2 linked regions of the Yarrowia lipolytica genome follow. The protein of the gene in region 2 interacts with the protein of the main gene of each other region in a biochemical or structural test. Links are inferred from orthologs where the notes say so. Each region holds a gene or a part of one and is shown on either strand. Other genes may lie near its edges. The genes, in order: YALI1_E37455g and YALI1_B01752g.

Region 1 (9,397 bases), on a different chromosome or scaffold from region 2:
TGCACGGTCACTCGTGTTGCCAACACGTCACCATCTTGATCCAATAAGCACATACATATAGTCTCTTACATATCACATTGCTACAGTTCTAAACATGGTCGAATCGTCACAGACCCAGTACAAGGGCGCCGGTTATAATGATCTGGATCTCAACATGTTCTCCAAGCCCATCTACTCGCGCTCCAACACTTCCAACACCTCCCTAGGCGGCTCGTCGGCCTCTGTGTCTGCTAACACGTCAGTCACCAACCTCAGCAGCTCGGCTTCTTTGCCACCTCCTCCTCCCATCGGAGTCCCCCGGAGCCGAAAGGCCAGCGGAGAGACCAAGCGAGTGTCTGCTGAGCCGGAGGAGCACGCCATCGAGACCAACGTGTCCGAGGCTGATCTGGTGGCACAGATGGAAAAGGTGCTCAAGAAGGACAACGGGCTGCCCGAGCGCGAGTTTGACCACTACTGCGTCAAGCTGCGAAAGCTTCTGCCCGGTCTGGACCAGGAGTGTCGTGATATCGCGTCCCATGCTCTGGTCCTGGCAGATGAGGGCAAGGGCAGCACCGCCAAGGAGCTGCTGGTGCAGTTCATGCTGCGACAGAGCGGAAGCAGCAGCTGGGCCATGCCCCTGCGAAAGGTGGTGGAGAATACCAAGTAGCCGCGCACTGACGTGTGCTACAAGTATTTGCAACGTTCGGCTGGTTCGCAGCTGTGCGTATAGACGGTATGAAATGTTGATCTGTGTCCGGGATCGAAGACAGTCAGTACCCAAGAGGCTAACAAGTGGCGTAACTGCCATTATTAATAATGTAATATAGGATTGGTGTGGGTACTTGTACATTTAGTGGTGTAGACCAGGTGGCGGCGTGTTATCTGCCAGTACGATATGTTCCGAGTAAAATCAAGTAAAATGTGTCATGTATTTTAATTGACTAGTTAAGCTTGACTAAGTATCTATCTCCATAAGATACCCTTCACTAACCGATCCTTAACAATATTGTCTCACGATAGTCTGAATTACAATAGTACATACTGTAGAATGGCTATGGAAGGAATTTTACAGGAATTTTACACCCAGATCCAACCAGAAGAAAACTTGACTGAAACAACACTGAACCGGGGTGTCTGTCAGATGACACCTCCTCCACGTGTGTCATCATAAGGTCTCCAGAAACAGACAGATTCGTTTGTATTGTACACCAGTACATGTACCAGCCGATATTTCCGTGGAGATAAGAGAGGTGTTTGTGTACGTCTTTTATAGTCTGATTAGTCATTCGGAGAACTACCATCTATATTTGTTCTATCCTTGTACTGGAACAAGTTGGAGTCAAGTAAGTACAGTATCCTGTTTTATTTTTCATTGTGCAAGCTAACAATCTCGTTTAATTCAGCCATGTTGGGAATCGAACACGCGTCCGGGTCCTCCGTGCACCCCCCCACAAGCGCAAACCCTATTTCAGTTTAGTAATATGCGAGGTCATCAAACTGTCCTTCTGATACGTACGACTAGAAGACACCTTGTAGTGTCCACACACCACCCAGACACACAACCCATCATCACCAGCATGGCGTCATCAACCCCGCCCATGGGAGAGTACACTCTTCCAGGTGAGTACAAATCCACGTTCCGCATTTTTTTAACGCCCACCACTAACACAGGGGTCATGAAGTATCTACAACGCGAATGGCAGCGGAACGAAAAGGACAGAATACAATGGGAGCTGGAGAGGGCGGAAATGAAGGTGAGTTGCGGAGAGAAAGAGGGGCTTTTGGCCGACACGAGCGGTGGGATGGAACGAGAATCGTTGAGCTAACACAAAGGCACGCATAGCTCGCTTGGAGGGCGAAAACAAGTCGCTGAAGGCGCACAATTCCAGCCAGGAGAAGGAAATCAAAATGCTCATGGAGGCGCTGAAGAGCGAGGACGCCAAGGTGCCCAAATTGCCACCATTGGACACGTCTCCACTCGTCGAGGGCCAGCAGTATCTCTCCAAGTGTCTGGAGGAGGTTTCGTATCTGCTTCATCCTGATGTTGTCGATGTGGATGTGGATGCCAAGGACAGGGAGGCCGCTGCTAGAGAGGCCGTGCGAGACACCCGCGACATTCGAGAAGTGCCTCGTGTTCCTGTCCAAGAGCAGCCTCAACAACTGACACAACCCACGACACACTCGCAGCCACAAACACAACCCACGACACATTCGCAGTCACAACCACAGACTCAGCCCACAACACAAACGCAAGCACAGTCGGTTCAGGCACAAGCAGTGTCACAAGCACAAAACGGAGATGCTTCCGCTACTTCCAGTTGGAAACTGCAGCACGAGCTCACTGGCAACAACGCGTTGAACATGTCGTCATTCGAGTCGTCCACCGCCTTGTTGACCGCCTCGGAAGACGGTCTCATCAAGCGATGGAGTTTGGAGAAGGCCAAAAAACACGAGTCCAAGTCGCATAGCACGTACACCGGTCACGTGGGCACAGTCACCTCCGTGGTGGCGTCGGAGTCGTCGGGCATGTTCTACTCCGCCGGCGTGGACAAAAAGGTGCGCTTTTGGCAGTCGGACTTGGTCACGGAGCTGTTCCACATCAACGCGCACAAAGAGGGCATTGTGGCTCTGGACGTGAGCGAAGACAACTTTGTGCTGGTGTCTTCATCCACCGACGGCACCACCAAGATCTGGAGTATCAAGACCAACGACATGCTCCATTCCATTGAGGGTCCCAAGCGTGCCACTCAGGACGAAAACAGCGATCTGTCGGAAGACACGTTTGCCAACAAGCCTGTGTCGGCATCGTCGGTACTGCTGTACAAGGACGGCACGAAGCTGGTGGTTGGCTACGAGAACGCTCACATTTACCTCATTGACGTGGGCAGTGGACTCGTCACCCACAAGATTGAAGACGCATACAACAGCGAGGACAACGGCGTCACATGTCTGGCCATGGTAGGAGGAGCCCACGCGTCCACCCAGGAGCTCACGCTGCTGGCAGGTTTCCGAGACGGCGTTATCCGAGCATTTGATCTAGCTGGACGGCTGGTGTGGCAGGTGGATGCCCATAAGGGTGCTGTGTCGTCCATCAGTGTCGACCCAGCATCGGGAGAGATGTTCGCGTCTGTGGGAGCTTCATTGGGAGTCAAGATCTGGACCGTGGGAGCCACGGAGCCGGTAGAGCAGATTGCCTGCAATTCGCCGGCCACAGCATCCAGTGTCACATGGACAGCTGGAAAGGAAGGGTCGATATGGAAGGGCCATATTGCCACCTGTGCCAGTGACGGCGTTGCAAGGGTGTATAGTTGCTTGAGGTAGGCGTATCTGACCGCCTTAACAGCATGCATGCGCCGCGTATAATGTCGGGCGAATCCTTTGGGTACACTTCAGCTCATTGATCATTATGAGCTTGAATGGCATTATGTAATTACATGAGAATATGAATGGATGGTGGTAGAGCGGTAGCGTCATCGTCCTAGCATACATGATTAGTATGGTTGGCGGGGTCCCTGTGGCTCCAAGAACAGTATCATTGGACGCTTGGAAACTCCTGAATTGCAATATTGCACTTCTCTAGGAGATGATACGCTGTAACGGTCGTACTGTAACCAAACCTATAGTGAGTGTATGATACATCTCCAGGTACATGAAGGTCTACACTGAGAATTATTACAAGAGTCGGTTCTGGAAGTCACTGTCACTCAATGGCTCGAGTCAAAAGTCACGTCTCAGTAACGCTACACGCGTCTATCTACAATTCGAGCTGGGTTCTACTGTTGCATCCCGCAACCCGGACACATCCTGTAAACCCAGTTCTTTGGCACACAAATAAAAAGGTCATGGTCTTGTCAAATGGTCCTTGAATCCGGCTTCTGTTCTTTGCAATATCAATAATCCATTCATTCTCCTTTTTTCTATCTGTGTAGACGGGTCGTCTACATCTTCTTTCGTCGTCCGATCTGGGCAGAGTAACCGGTCTTGATGGACGAGACGGATCGTCGGGATCCACACGAGTTACAGTCCAGGAAGGTGAGTCGGTTCTCCTTGGTGAGTCGGGTGTTAACGGACTTGCAAGTGGCGCAAGACACGTAGTCCACAATGTACCGTCTGAGAACGGTCTCCATACCCTTTTGCTGGAATCGACCCTTGATGACAAGTCGATCGTTTCCGTCGGTGGATCCGGAGGTACCCAACTCGGCGAAAATGAACATGGCCACGTGCTCGGGAGATCTGTGCATCTTGGAGGCGATTTCCTGAATGTTGGCGAAAATCGACTTCTTTCCGTCTCGCAGCAGCTGAGGAGGAGGAATCTTGTACTTGGACGACCGGTCGCCGGCCAGCTCGGGGTTGTTCTCCCGCAGAATGTCGAAAAATCGGCTCAGGAGCTCGGGGTATGTGAACTCCTTCTCTCCGTCAAGAGTGTAGGTGACCTTCTCTCCAGAGGCAACGGGGTCCTCGTCGACACCAGCCTTCTCCAGCTCCTCGTCGAACTCGGACAGAGCGCTAGGGGCCTTCTTCTTCTTCTTCTTCTTCTTGAAATCAAACTCGTCCACATCGTCAGCGGCAGCAGAGGTCTTGAGATCGTCCAGCTTGTCGGCAACCTCGGAGACCTCGTCATCCTCCACAAATGCAGGCTTGCTCTTCTTCTTCTTCTTCTTGAGAGAGGGGTCGAAGTCCAGACTCTCCACCTTCTTATCTTCAATGTCCGACATGATGTGTGTGGTGTTTGTGATACTGCTGGTGGTAATTTGAGATATCATTTTTCACTGTACCACGGTAAAACTTTATGTTGAGGTAGGGTAACCTTTGGGGGAAATGGTATATGAGTATCTTGGAACTGTCATGGGGACTTTTTAGGAGGCGTAGTAGCGGATTTATACTCCAATGGCCATTTTATCTTATATCCAATTTTCAGATCTCTATTCAATCCACTCTAGGCACCACTATTAAACACCTAGGGGATGCCGCCCGATCTGCTCTTTTCGCTCACGTGAACATGGAACCTTAGATTCAGTCATGGCGGGTAAGTAGGGTTGATAAGTAATGTGAGTTGAGATAGTTGTAATTTGTTAATGAATATGAAATGCTTGTTATGGCTGACGTGTGTATTGTAGAAAGATACTCTTGATGTTGGGATATCCATGACAATATTTCTCATCAAGAGGTCTCATTTTATTTGGTCTAAGAAGAAACAATGGTCACTTGAGAGACTTTTGCTCCTATCGTGATGGAATCTTACGTGATGATATTATTGGGTGGTTTGCAGATTTTTTGATGATATTTTAACACGTTCGTAATTTCCGGGCAATTTCCTGTATTTTGATATTATCAGTTTCCTATTATACCGGTTGTTCCCTTCGATAGCTACAATAATTGCAGCGATGAATTTGTTACGAATTCGATCGCTCCAGTTGGCACCTGCCAAGTAAACCCGTTAAGATCCAAACTCTCATCTCTGACCCCTCCCGCCTCTCCCTAATCAGACACCTCACACCCCAATCGAGTTGATCTCCATAACTCCTACCTCATTTACCATCCACATTAGTACAGCTATCCAAGACACTTGCCCTCAATATCCGAAATGAAGTCTCTTGTTACGAGCGCGTATGCTAGATTGCCTTTCATATACACAGCAAATGGGCGTGAAAAGTGTCCGTTTCTAGCCCCGGCTGAGGGACTTTGCACGTGTTTGTATCTGTGAGGGACGACTGGTGACTCCTCTTTGGCAACAAACTGGGGGCCCTCTCTCGGGCTTATGTGAACACTGACCATATTTGAACACCTATAGGCCCACCCTGTAGAATCCAAACGCTCGTATGTACGATTCAGTACAAGTAGACTCTCACCTGAGATATACGGGGTAGCATAAGTAAACACCGCGGGCTTGTTGAGTCAATGACAGATAACAATGAGATATTAACGGAGATCTCATAAAAGGCCTGTTATTGCTGTTGGGCGTTGATTTGGACAGGTGCGGTGATTAAACTGTTTATGGCGTGTCCAAGGATGAAAGTGAAAAGTGCAGCACTCGTATTGTACCACAAGCAGTGGGGTCCAGAGAGGTTTCACAGAGACGAACAGTTGTTGGGTGGAGTGATCCGCCTATAATGCCTCGATATGTCGTCTTTCCTGGTCTGTTGGATGAGATATTAATGCCTGCCACTGTCACTCGGCTCTCCTACATGCTCACTCGGCTTTTTACTCTGCTCTCAACATTCAGCTAACCCCCATCAGATTTGGCACTACTGTACTCGTTCCGGAACGTGAGCCTCGTGTGTGGAAACACAAAACCAGGGCTGGCACGGCATGGGAGCGATCTGAGCAACGATTTTCAGACTTTTTTTTCTGTGGCTACCGGTGGACTTGGTTTTTTCGGTTCGGTTTTTTTTGTTTTTTGTTTTTTGTTTTTTGTTTTTTAATTTTGTGTATATTTCACTTTGGCCAAACTGAAACAAATTATCGCATTGTCATGAGACACTAAAAGCAACAGAAGCAGCGAATATACTGGTTTGGGAAACAAAGGTCCAAGACATGACGGCATTTCGGGCCTTTTGAATCGCGAGCAATATACCACTAAATGGTATCGAGGCCGACTGTCGCTACGACAACAGTCTGAGCCGCTCTCGAACGGCGATGCATGCCTCTCACAATCAGACTGACTCTTGCTCCACGTGAAATTTCATTTGGAGAAACCAAAAACAGCCCATATGAAATCTAATGCCGTTCGAGCCTGCGTGGATATCGTGTCTATGGTACTCTAAGTAACTATACCTCGTGCCGCGAACAATAGAAGATAGATACAGAGTTGCGCGGGCCCTTTAACATCACAGTTAGACACAAGTATCCGCCTATTGTTGGAATGGATGGAACGTCCGTTTGAGTTGGAGGTAATTAAACAAAAAACAGAACCGTGTCGGCTGAAATAAGGGCCTTTAGGTCGTATCCGGCACCCCTAGCTGTTTTACCTACAGTACCAAAACAAGCAGAGCGGACATTTACGGTGCAAGTACCGCTAAGTACAAACTGATTGTTTCAGCCAGGTACCGCTTCTTTACATCTGTAGATTGCGTTGATAAGGGTCAATACATGATTAAAGAGACAGGAGCGCCGATAACAACATTGTAGGGTATTTCACAAGATGCGCCAGACTCGGGTGTAGCGACTTGTACCTACAACTGTCGCGTTTTCTGATCGTTGAGGCGCCACTCTACCTCCACCTCTCTGTCTATGCGGACCGCGTTTCAAATGGCTGAGAAGAGCACGCTAACGCACTCGAAATGAGAGATCCACTCTACAGTACTTGTACCATTGAGCAGGTCTACTTGGACTTGTATCTCGATGACAGCTATTGTCTGAAGTTGGCGCTAACAATGCATGGGATCGTGCTAACGCAATCTCATATAAACGCTTGTTAGACAAGACATACGGATGTCATATTGCATGTCCAAATGGAGATCACGGAAACAAAGAGCCAAGGTGGGCACCAACAGGAGGAAGTCGAGTACTTGTAGACATGATTGGATCTCACCAATTGCTCAACCTCGAGAAGTTATCCAGTCTCCGACGAATACTTGTACGAATACTTGTATTTATGATGGCCCGATGACATGAACCTGAAAACTTTTCTAAAATTGTCTAAAATTGTCTAAAACTTGTCTAAAACTTGACTAAAACTTGACAGAGAGACGATTTTGACACTGGAAAAGCTCATCGTGATCCTCTCGATCCAGGGTTTACAACCATCTACCCAGATCCCCGCAATACTGGAAAACCACACCTCCAGCCTCTAGCATCCCCCACCCCTTCACTCAACGCATGGATTATGCAGGTACGTCACGTGACCATAACTGGCCCAGCAGGCTCCCCCCTGGTCCCGATTCACGTGATTTCGCCGTTGGACGTCACATGACCCTATCACACCGATCACTAATCACCCTGTATACCGCCACCTGCATATTTGGTCACGTGACGTTCAATTTGCTCACGGATGCAGGATTGCTTGTTATTTAGGTTTGTCGAGACGAGAGGTGGTTTGGGAGGTAGGGGGAGGCTGATGGGGCTCCTAAATGAGGCGCCCGACTAGGAAAAGGTCCCCTAGTTTAGCTGTCACGTGAGTTCGTCGTCCCTGCTCATCTCCCGTATCCCCCCAACCTTATCTATGCCCAGTGTCTACTTGACTAGAGAATCTCCGCCTTTGTCATGCATTTCCGAGTGAGGCAACCTTATTTACAATAAACTTTTCCGACTCCAATATCTCTTCCTCTCCAAACTAATGATAGTACACGAACTATCACGTCTTTAGACACACTCAACCAACATGATTCTCGTCCAGGGCGAAAAGTACGCGTGTCTCAACTGCATCCGCGGTCATCGGAGTTCCACCTGTGACCATACTAACCGACCTCTGGTGCAAGTTCGAAGAAGAGGACGGCCAAACCATGCCTGTCAACACCGTCTCGCAGTTATCGCCGAGCCCACCTGCTCGTGTGGAATGACTGCTGTGCTTGTTCCCGAGCACTCGGTGGCTGGAATCAAGGAGGAGGACAAAAAGCCTGGCAGTTCGGCGCTCAAGAAGACCACCAAGAGTGTGGGAATCATTCGAATCGGAGCGCACTCCAAAAAGATTATCGACACTTCAAACGGAAAGGTGACTGTGTTGGACACGCCAGTGAACCAGTTTCTCAAGGAGAATCCCAGCGGAAACTGCACATGTGCTGCCTCAGGCCTGGAGCCCGAAGAGTACTTTGACAGACTGAAGCAGAAGTCGTCCTGTTGCAGTAAGGAGGAGAAGCCGGCTTCTAACGGATGCTGCAGTGGGAATAAGGTCAAGAAGGAAGAGGAGAGTCTTCCGAGTCGTATGCATGGAAATGGAGGGCATGTGGCCAGCAGTCATGTGGGTAATAATAGTCACGTGAACAGCAGTAGCCCCATGAACCCCAGTCCTGCTGCTGCACATATCAACCACAGCCAAAACTCGACACAAGCTCTGCCTGGAGTCAACACCATTTACCAGGGACCGGGTGTGATACAGGGCCAGGGTCAGACCCAGGGACAGGTCAACGGGTACCACTACAACAGTTATTACCAGCAGCCGTCGTACATGTACAACTCGGCATACTATGCTGGCCATACAGTCCAGGTTCAGTCTGAGGGTCACGGTATGAATGGGGTGAATGGACACGGACATGGTATTCAGCTGGGTCTTCCAGGCCAGAGTCTTCCAGGCCAGAGTCTTCCAGGCCAGAGTCTTCCGGGTCAGAGCATTCCTCAGGGTGTTCAAGGACAGAGCATGGCACAGGGAGTTCCTCAGGGCCAAAATGTTCAGGTTATGACGCAAGCACAGACTATGCCACAGGTTCAGACCCAGGTTCAGACCCCAAACCAGGAGGTACAGATCCAAATGTCCCAGACCAAC
Region 2 (9,976 bases):
CCAAAAGCGTGCAACTGGTACTCACCGAAACCTCCAAGCCCTATGATGAGGGCCGATCTCCGGTGCGATACGAGGCGACTGGAGTGACAGTTCTGATTGACGCCACTCGGGTCATTGTGCAGTCGGACTCGGACAACGCGCCCCAGCTGCCTCACGTGGTCGCGTTCAAGCTGGACTGTGTCAATTTCGCCTCGCTGGAAATTCCCATGACCAACATTCTCAAGGTGCAGCTGACTCAGCCGTGGTTTGGCCCCAACTCGGTGGACATTTCGTTTGTGGCGATTCCCAAGGCCGAGAGAGGCCTGCATCTGGTTCCCGGGCTGAGACGGGACGGAACCACGTGGCGAGCCGATCTGTACTTTCGCGAGGGTGGTGCCATTGAGTTCCAAAAGGTTCTGGCGGAGAAACACACAGCGTTCAGGGAGAGAGTCCAGAGACAGGTTTCGGTGGCGCGAGACGGCATCGAGCCGGATTTGCCACAGTACGAGGCTCCTCCTGGTTATGAGGAATAGATGGTGGGATGTGGACGAAACACAACAACCGCTTGGGTCTTATCCGACTGTTGACAGATAGACACTCGACTCAGGATACTGGTGGTTACCCATTTCTCCATTTCCCAACGTTTTCCTTCACGTTTGTTCCACGCTCAAGGCCTCTTCTCCTCGTTTTTCTAACGGTTTTTTTCCCCCGCTCAAGGTCTCTGTCAAGGTCTCTTGTCAAGGTCTCTGTCAAGGTCTCTGTCAAGGTCTCTGTCAAGGTCTCTGTCAAGGTCTCTTCTCTACCGCCCACCACCCTACCCAATCATTCGGCCACTCATATACACAACATCAAACGAGTCCCCTGAAGCGGAGAGCCCCACAAGTATAAGAAAGAGTTGGTGCAGAGACGCTTCACACATTCCGCAGTTTTGAAACTCTGAGACGATCGTGCCCTAAACAGAACCTGGGACCCGCGTCACCCAGTCTCACGAGACCCCGACAGCCTCTTTATACGTGTACGGTATATCGAGATAACTTATTGCATCATTTTGCCATGAGATGAGACAAGCATAAAAATGATATTTTGATGATGGTTACGTGGTAATACCCAGCCAGGCATTGAAAGTATATCTGCTACAGACTAATGAGTGGTGCCATTCGACAGCTGGAGCCCGACCGATCTCCACAATGTATTTCCTTAACCCAGGGCTACTAAATTGAAAATATGGAAGTACACCAAGATCGAGGAGGTCTGCTCTATGAATGTTGAAAGTGGGTCTTACGGTTAGATGCTTATAAAGCTGTCTTATTGTAGTATCATAGTCCCGTGACAGGGCTAAGGGGTCCGTAAGGCGCACTTTGGCGCATAGACTTTACGGTATATCATCCGGAACAGCCACATTTTTTCATTTTCAGCATTTCGAGAGCTGATTGAAGCGGAATTGGAAATGTAGACTCCGGAATGAGGCAATTTCGAAGTCCCCGTGTCTCTAGCTTGTCTGTATCGATTTCTAAAGTCGTTACACATCATGGGTTAGCTCGACAGTATGTAGGTGTCTTCACAATTGCCAAATGCGCATCTTGTAGTAGAAGATATGTATTCCTGGAGTATTTCCATGGTGCTATACCACCAAACATCCGCCCTTTGTTGTCATGGTTATTCCATTGCTATTATCCCTCGTTGTTAACGCCAGTATATATGTCGGAGTCATCAAATCAGGACCAGGATGTACTAAAAATGCTACAGATTCCATTATAAACACTCAAATGTATAGTTTCAAGTTTCTGGGGGCATCCAATGAGTGGTTGAAACACGTCAGTCAACTCCCCAAACGTCCTATGTGCTTCCTACACTAAGTATCAATGATATTCATACGACCTTCAGTAGGGTGACCGGATGCACAGCGAGACGATGAAACTTCAGATTGAAAAGTAACATGAAGTTGGAAAGTCGTCAGTAGTTGAGAAATGTCATGTTAAATCCATTACCAAAGTCTTTGATAACCAGATTTATTCTCTAGTCGAGTTATCGTCATATTATTAGATGGTCTCTTGTAAGACCTGTTCCCAAGGCAAGAAGAGCAATCGAAAAGAAACTGGAACGGATAAAACTCTCAAGATAAATAAAGTAGAGAAAGATCACTTGGAACCCGCAGTCCTTTGGATTCTGTTGTTTATCTCATACAAAAACACTCCATGTTCACATCTTTTTACTCAACAAAATATTAGCCTAATTCCAACAAAAAGCTAACTACTGGCTCAACTAAAACCCAACACAACATCCCCCAAGATTGACACAACCAGACTTATCATAGTGCCAATAACATCCACAAGTGAATTTCTGCTAAGAATGTAGATCTTTTAAACCCCCCGATATACTCATAATCCCTTTTAGTTCCTCGGAACATCAAAATACAACCCCCAGAACAAAACCCCCTTAACAATTTCCCAACTAACAATAACTAAAGAAATAACGGAAACAAAAGTACCATTCAAACAATCCTGTAGTAACCGCAGCGACTCAAAAACTTCCCACACAGCTATTACACACCTGATAAACCTCCTTATCAACTCCCCAACCATCTACCTATCTCCACAAAACTTCTACAATACAATTTGGTAGTACCGTTCATGCCACTGGCGCTACACTATCTACACCATCTATAATGGAATCTGAACCTACTCCAGAAAAACACACGCCTGATTTCTAGCAATTATGGACTCCAGTAATCGCGCCAGAATAATGCTCGTACTCTTTCACCCACTATTACTAATCTCACGGACTATTACTAATCATCTACACCCTCCAAAAAAAATCACATTCGAAATCAAACGCTCTTCAGGTAACCTCGGATTGGTATCTCCTCAGAGATATTACAAAGATTCTACACGCTGACTAATCAACCTTAGCTACAACTATCAACGCCAATAACAAGTATCCCTACTGACTACAGTTACAATCCACGGGCTACACGGAGCCCTGGATGTCTCGCACTCACAAGCGCACCCACTCACGCGCTGCGCTCATGCCTGTTGGAATATCGGTATATCACCTTGACTATGCTCTTCCTTTTATCCTCCACTGCAGTCCTCTGCTTCCTGTCCTGTACATTGCTGACGCAATCACTCAAAATCGCCAGCCTCCTCGTCAGCATCATCATCATCTCCATCCACCAGCTTGTTCTGCTGCTCAGTCTTCTCCATAAGCTTGGCGAGCTCGGCATCGTCGGTCTCAGTGACGGCCTTGGGCTCCATCTTGACCGTCAGAGAGCCGCCGGACGCCTCAATGCTCTCTCGAATCTTCTCAATCGCCTCGCCGAGAGTGTCGATGGCCTTCTGCTTGTCCAGACAGGTGGAGGTGAGCACAAACAGAGGAGCGGCCACCAGCTTGACCTTGACGGGCACCAGCTCCGAGTTGAGCGTCTCACCGGCCGCCAGCGCCTTCTTGATCGCCTCAATGCCCTCGTAGGCAAAACAGGTGATGTCAATGTCAGCTCGCACCTTGACGGGGTTGGGGGTCAGTCGCCGGCCAATCTGGGCCTTGAGATCCTCCATGATGGCGGGAGAAGCAGGGTCCTCCAGATCGCCAAACACCTGGTCGGGGTTGGTGATGGACAGCTTGAAGCCGTCGTAGGCATGGCCATACTTGGTGCTCAGCGGCCAGCCCACCTGTTCGTACAGCTTTTCTAGCGAGTACTTGTGTTTCTCCGCCACGTGCCGCAGAATCGAGTGCACAGTCTTGGACTTGGTGTACTTTTCCTCACACTTTTCCACGTCCTCGGCGCTCACTCGCCGTTTCGACAGATCGATGTAGCCCTTGTCCTTGTCCACTCGCAGAACAACCACAATCTCGTTCTTGCCCACCTTGATGTGCTTCTGGATGGACCGGATACGTCGTCGCGACAGCTCCGACAGCAGAATCATGCCCTCAATGTCGTCGTACTCAAGCAGCTTGACGTACGCGCCCATGTCGGCAATCTCCTTGACGTTGACCATCACCAGGTCGTCGACCTCGGGGTACTTGTTGGCGTAGAATCGGCAGGTGGTCGTGTTGACTTCGTCCATTTTTTTGCTGCTTGTGTCGGTGGGTGGTGAGATTGGATTCGGACATGACTGATTGCATGAGGATTTTTCAGCTACAGTTTTAGGTTGGTCACGTGGCGGGAACCGAGGTTGTTGGTTCGATTCCCACTGGGCACGGATGGATGTAGTTTATGGGAGCTGAGGAAGCGGAAATAATGGCTCACAATATGGCACAGACCGTTTTGCATGGGCCAGATACGCCATCTGAAATAATCTTCAGATTCGGGAAGACTCTGATTCAGGAAGACTCTTAATCTATGATCAGCCTTCCCCCTCCCCAGAAAGCTTAAATTATGTGGAACTAGCACAACCACAGATGCATGCACTTGTGCAGTGTGCACACGTGCCACACCAGCCAGTTTGTGTCAGACATGAACACCAAACAGGAAAGTCAGCATCTTCAGAAGGATACTCTCCAGAAGGATACTCTCCAGAAGGATACCCTCCAGAAGGATACCCTCCAGGAGGAGAACCCATGAAAGATACCCTAGTCTCACGTGAGTCCACGTGACTCTCCTCAATTCAATGACCCCCGTCTCCCCATCCTATCCTCCACACGTCCGCCGAATTGGAGACAGAACATGATTGCGTCCGCCGCTTTGATTGTGTGGTGGAAAGAGATGGAAAAACAGGTGTGGAGAAGGAAGAGTTGGTTTCGGAGGCGGACATGGGCTTTATATATCAAGGTGGAGCGGGACTTTGTGTAATAAGGTGTGGTTGGTGGAGATGTTGGCGAGGCGGTGGGCGCTGGTCACGTGACCGAGATGGCGGGGGTGTTGGCGTTGGTCACGTGACGCAATAGAAATCTGTCTCAGGTTTGATTTAGATTTCATCAGATGTGTTTTCTTGACGGGGTGTTGAATTTGGGGTTGATTTGGTGGGGGAATCCACTTGGCTCGTTATTGTTCGTCATTCAGATCGATCATGGGCCAGCTGGAATCGGTTTGTTGAGAATGATCAGAGGGTTCTTTTCTTCTTTTCTTCTTTTCTTCTTCTTTTCTTCTTTCTTTCGTTTACAGCGATGAACAGCCGTCGCAAAGGTAAGGGAAAGGGGCTACAAGAATCTGAAGACAGCTGCGCCATGAACGTTTGTCATTTCTTTTCGATGGAAAATATTGAGACGGTTCTAGAATCTCTGAAGGGTTTGATTCGTTGTGTTGTCTTCTGTGACTTTGGTACAATGGCAATGCCGCAAAAGTTCCAAAAGACCACTCCTGATTACCCGAGAAACTTCTGGAGAAGCGCGCTCTTTCTCATCCCAGACATGGCACTCCTTATTAGTCATAGGGGGGCAGTTGTTGACAAATCACAAGTGCTAAAAGTGCCCAATTAACCCCATTCACTTCCCCAAGTCTTCTCAGTGGAGTTTTCTAATTCCGAGACGGAAAACACTGTCATTGAGATGGTTCCAGGTGGCTCTGAGTCAGTTCCATTTCTCTCTGAATCATTTCCCGAATCAGTTCTCTCTGGAGCAGGGGTTGTCTTCTGATCCGACGGTTCCACCATCATGTGTGGACCGCTAACCAGTTCCTTCCGACTCGGTGAGCGTTCCTCAAAATAGAACCATTTGAAAGCTGGAGACGAGCCGATTACGACTCAGCAGCACCATTTCCGCACAGCAATGACCAGTCAAAAGTTGGGTACAATGCTCATCCCAATTGCTCCCCAAAACCAATGCTCCTTGAAGCCGTGACGATTCCCAACACTATGATGAATGAAAGGACCGAAAGTTGCAAAAATGAAATTCTGATGAGAAAGTTGTTGTTGTTTTTCCATCGACTGCCGCCAACCGAACTGTCAGACAGAGACAGGACCGAACCAAGCGCCATTTGACGTCTTCCACAGCTCATGCAGCAAACATCCCGCCACGACTGGACAGTCTAGATATCGACATGGCATGTTCGGTGTCTGTTCGGTACCCGGAGGGCCAGCTTCGAAGGTGGCACTCCAGATCTCGAGGTAGCACTACATGCCCTTCTCCATCTCCTGTTCTACCTCTTTTGTTGCGATTTTGTCGTTCCTACTTTCGCCACATACATCTCATGCCTTCACTTGATGATACCTCAGGAACGAGTAATGCCACCGGTTGAAAAGGTAGGTATAACTGTTCCTCTGGTATAGGGCGTTGAAATGAGTCTACTCTTGTACCTACAGGCCAACTACACAACTACCTACTCAAGTTATCCCTTCACTATTGTGCTCTACTATCACCTGGACTAGATCCTGAATACAATACTGTGCCTAGAGAGATGGGAAGTTGATCAAAATGAAACTTGACGTCTGAAGGTCATTTCAGGTCACCGTCTCCGTTTCATTTGGCGCATTATCCATCGTTCTGGAGCGCGGTTCATGCTATAGGGGGAATGCCAACCTTTCAACTATACTTCTAACAAATAATAGTTGATGATGAAAAAAAGATATCCGCACAGAACGAAGTATTGTATAGCAAAAATGTTCAAAATACAGAAAAAACCATGAAACCAATATCGTAGAATCCATCTAGACAAACGCCATATCTCCACCGCCTCTGGATCCCTAGATAAAGACCCCAAGTCAAGTTTTGATGTCAACAAAGTCTAACTAATATTTGTTAAATTAAAGAGAGCTGGACATCTACAACAAATCGAGTCCAGGACCGCGAGTCACGTGTTAAGTCACATGTTAAGTCACATGTTAAGTCACGTGTTAAGTATCTTATAACGTGAAACCGCTTCTCTCGATACGTGAGTGATCTGGATCTGGATCAGAGTGTGTGTGCAATCTCTGCCAGTCACGTGACTAAAATCCTTCACGTGACTTGAACACCCAAGAATTACCACCCAAAGACACAAAACGAAAGTAACATGTCATTATTCTATGTAAAATATCTATTGTCTCCAGTCAGTCAGTAGCTGACAGTGGTTAGAGCAGAGCTGACAGTAGTGAGCTGAAAAGAGTGAAGAGTTGAGTACTCTTACTGCTCCGCATCTGAGCGATGCATCTTCGCCGTTCGCTCTAGCGGTCCAGAATCTCCAACAATTGGTTCTTGAAAACAGGCAGCATTTTGGGAATCTCGGTAATATCCGGTCGCTGGGGCGGCAAGTCGCTGGACTGCTGCTTCTGTTCAATCTTCCGGGCCAACTGTCGTCGTCGTCTCTCCTCTTCCACCGCATCCAGCTGTCCCTCGCTCTTGCCCATGATAGCGCGGTCCTCTAGATCCAGCTCCGCCACGTCCAATTCCAGCTCGTTAATGTCTTCAATATCGATTCCGAAATCGCCCGTGTTGATGCCGTTGGCTCCTCCTGGCAAGGTCGAGTCCCATCGCGTGTCAATGTCGTCCTCCGCGTCAGCACCCATGGCTGCAAGGGTCGAGTTGACCGAAGACGACCTCGACAACCGCTTAACTCCGCCGTCACGCATCTGCTGGGCTGCCGCGGCGCGCAGATCGTACCAGTCCTTTCGTCGTCGTGTCCAGTCGACAATCTGGTCCACCTCAAACACCACCCTCTCCTTGTCACCGGGGTAGTTGGCCAGCATCATTTCGAGATCAAGAGGAGCTCCATGCTGCTGGCCGTCCTTCAGAAAGAGAATAATGTCCGAAATCCAGCCCATGAGCTGGTCAAACAGACCGCCGTCGTGCTGGTACACATTGTGGATGAACTTGAACAGAGAGTCAACGTGTCGGTTGCACAGGTCCACAAACAGTTGGACCTGCGAATTGGCGTCCGAAGTGAGCGAATCAATCTCACTCTTGCTGACCGTCTTGATCAGGTCGTCGGCAAACCGCTGAAGATCTCCCACTGCCTCAGAAATATGGGCATCCTTGAAGACCCGAATCAGGGGCTCGTAGAAGATGGTGATCAGATCCTTGACTAGCTGAACGGTCGCCTTCTCATTGATCAGATCCTGGAACAGGTCCTTGTCTCGCTTTCTGGTCAAATGCTTCAGCAAGTTCTTGGTGGCAGAAAACTTGAGCACCTCGTCGGACTGAACTTCATGGGGATCGTTACTCGGCTCCTCCTCCACCGCATTGTCCCACCGTTCGTACCACAGCTGCACAGTGCGCTCCTGTTCCCAGGAATGGTTCTCTTCTGCCTGCAGCTTGAAAATGGCCAGCACCATGTCGCAGTCATGAGCATGCTTGGTCTTGAGCACCCGCTGATGAGTGGCCTCGTCAGCGTAGACAAAATCCTCCAGTCCCTGACACACAGAATCATCGGCAATGAGCAGCTTGAGCTCCTTGATGGCCCGCTCCTGCTGCTTGATGTCTTCTTGTAACATGTACCAGATGATATTCTGGAAGAGCGACTTGCGGCCAAACGGCTGGGCCAGGAACAGATCCATCATTCCCTTCATGATCGAGACGGGGTTGGACAGCCGCAAAATGCCCTTGATCACCGTGTACGGAATGAACCGGTGAAGACGACACACCTGCGCAAACACCTCGGGAGCATTGTCCGACGCCACAAACATGTGGAACAGCGTGGCGGCAAACTCAATCGTCGCCCACTTGATGAACTTTTGGAACCGGGGACTCAGGTCACGTGCGCTGCTCTTGTCCCGGATCTCGTCGAAAATGTGTTTCAGACCATCTTCCCGCACAAGATCTTGCTTGAACTCCTGGAGGTAAACGTTGAGCTCCTGCGCTCGGGCTTGGGCAACCTCGTAGAACTGCAGCTGGTCACGCACACGGGCAATGTCGACTTTTCGACGCAGCTCCATATCGCGAATCTCGTTGGGTGTCATTTGAATGGGGTCCATGTAGAGAAACTCGAGGAGCGTCTTGGAGTTGGCTACCATTCGGTTTGACACCAGAGTATGAAGGTAGGCACGGAGGGTGGTTCGTTGTTTCTCACGCGGAAGACTTACTCTCTTTCCATCGTGATGGACGTTGGCGGTATCGTCATCATCAATATGCTCCTCTGCGTCGTTGAGCTCGTCTTCGGGGTCGTCGTTTTCGGTGTCGACAAAGCCGCCGATACCTGAGGACGTGGCCTGGGAGGCAGCACGGTTACGCACGGGCAAATTGGGCAGCCCACGTCCGGGAAACTCCCGGTGTAGCTTCTTGGCCAGCTCCTTGAAGTCGTGGAAGGTGCGTGCGACCACAACGGTTCGGCCCTCATGAGACTCCATTTTCGTCTCAATGAGGTACTCGGCGCTCACGTGGTCGCCGGCTAGAAACGAGAGCATTCGTTTGGTTCGGATTTCGCGCACTCCCACGACATTGACGCACAGGCCGTTAATGAATTTTCCACTGGCCAAGGACGATAGGACTTTTTTGTGGTCCAGCTGCTCGACGCCGGCGGTGGCCGGTTTCTCCACCTTGGCCGCGGGCTCGTCGACGTTGGTGGTCATGAGGCCGGCAGACATGTACATTGCAAAGGCTTTTTTGATCCGCAGGGAGATTTTCGATCGCTTTGTGTCTTCGGCTCTGTCTTCCGATGAGGAGATGTTCTTGTCTGCGAACGACTCTAGAAACGCCTGGAGCCGCAGTTGCCAAAAGTCGCGGTCGTCGGCTTTGCTGAGAAACGGAAACGTCTTGATGTGGTGGACAAACATGTGGCGGACAATGGGGAATTGGTAGACCACGGGGCCGTTGGGGCCGTTGGGGCCATTGGGGCCGTTGGTGGTGGCGAGGGTTCGGTTGGGGGTTGCGTTTCCGGTGCTGGGGGTTGTGTAGCCGGTATCGTGGGGCATTGCGCTGAGGCTCAGGTCGCCGTAGTTTTCGTCGTGGGAGTCGTAGAAGTGGTCTTCGTGGTCGTGGTCACCACCGTGGCCGTGGCCCTTGAGATGCGGAATGTGAATGTGTTTCTTGATGTGGCTGCCCTTCTTCTTGATGTGTTTGATGGACCCCATGACGCTGTGGTGGGATCCTCCGGAGCTCTGCGGCTCCAGCACCGGCGACCCGATCGTCGGCGTGTAGTGGTCGCCGTCGT

What was found.
Region 1: the proteins of YALI1_B01752g (region 2) and YALI1_E37455g form a complex in vitro, tested with the Saccharomyces cerevisiae proteins (3 studies listed by BioGRID). The link is inferred for Yarrowia lipolytica from reciprocal best matches to the Saccharomyces cerevisiae genes SUI2 and SUI3.

What each region holds. Positions count from the first base shown.
Region 1 is NC_090774.1:3,740,842-3,750,238, reverse strand, and holds YALI1_E37455g (uncharacterized protein), read right to left. Parts: upstream 4,743-9,397; coding exon 3,918-4,742; downstream 1-3,917. Other genes in the region: YALI1_E37494g (uncharacterized protein), read right to left, coding at 239-829; YALI1_E37484g (uncharacterized protein), read left to right, coding at 1,557-1,599, 1,651-1,733, 1,813-3,300; YALI1_E37441g (uncharacterized protein), read left to right, coding at 5,974-6,070, 6,129-6,463; YALI1_E37419g (uncharacterized protein), read left to right, coding at 8,300-9,397. UniProt on the Saccharomyces cerevisiae protein: Component of the eIF2 complex that functions in the early steps of protein synthesis by forming a ternary complex with GTP and initiator tRNA.
Region 2 is NC_090771.1:171,216-181,191, forward strand, and holds YALI1_B01752g (uncharacterized protein), read right to left. Parts: upstream 4,044-9,976; coding exon 3,102-4,043; downstream 1-3,101. Other genes in the region: YALI1_B01711g (uncharacterized protein), read left to right, coding at 1-512; YALI1_B01719g (uncharacterized protein), read right to left, coding at 598-778, 822-898; YALI1_B01725g (uncharacterized protein), read right to left, coding at 1,073-1,335, 1,379-1,397; YALI1_B01760g (uncharacterized protein), read right to left, coding at 4,579-4,808, 4,852-4,894; YALI1_B01771g (uncharacterized protein), read left to right, coding at 5,954-6,146, 6,197-6,288; YALI1_B01813g (uncharacterized protein), read right to left, coding at 7,056-9,976. UniProt on the Saccharomyces cerevisiae protein: eIF-2 functions in the early steps of protein synthesis by forming a ternary complex with GTP and initiator tRNA. This complex binds to a 40S ribosomal subunit, followed by mRNA binding to form a 43S pre-initiation complex.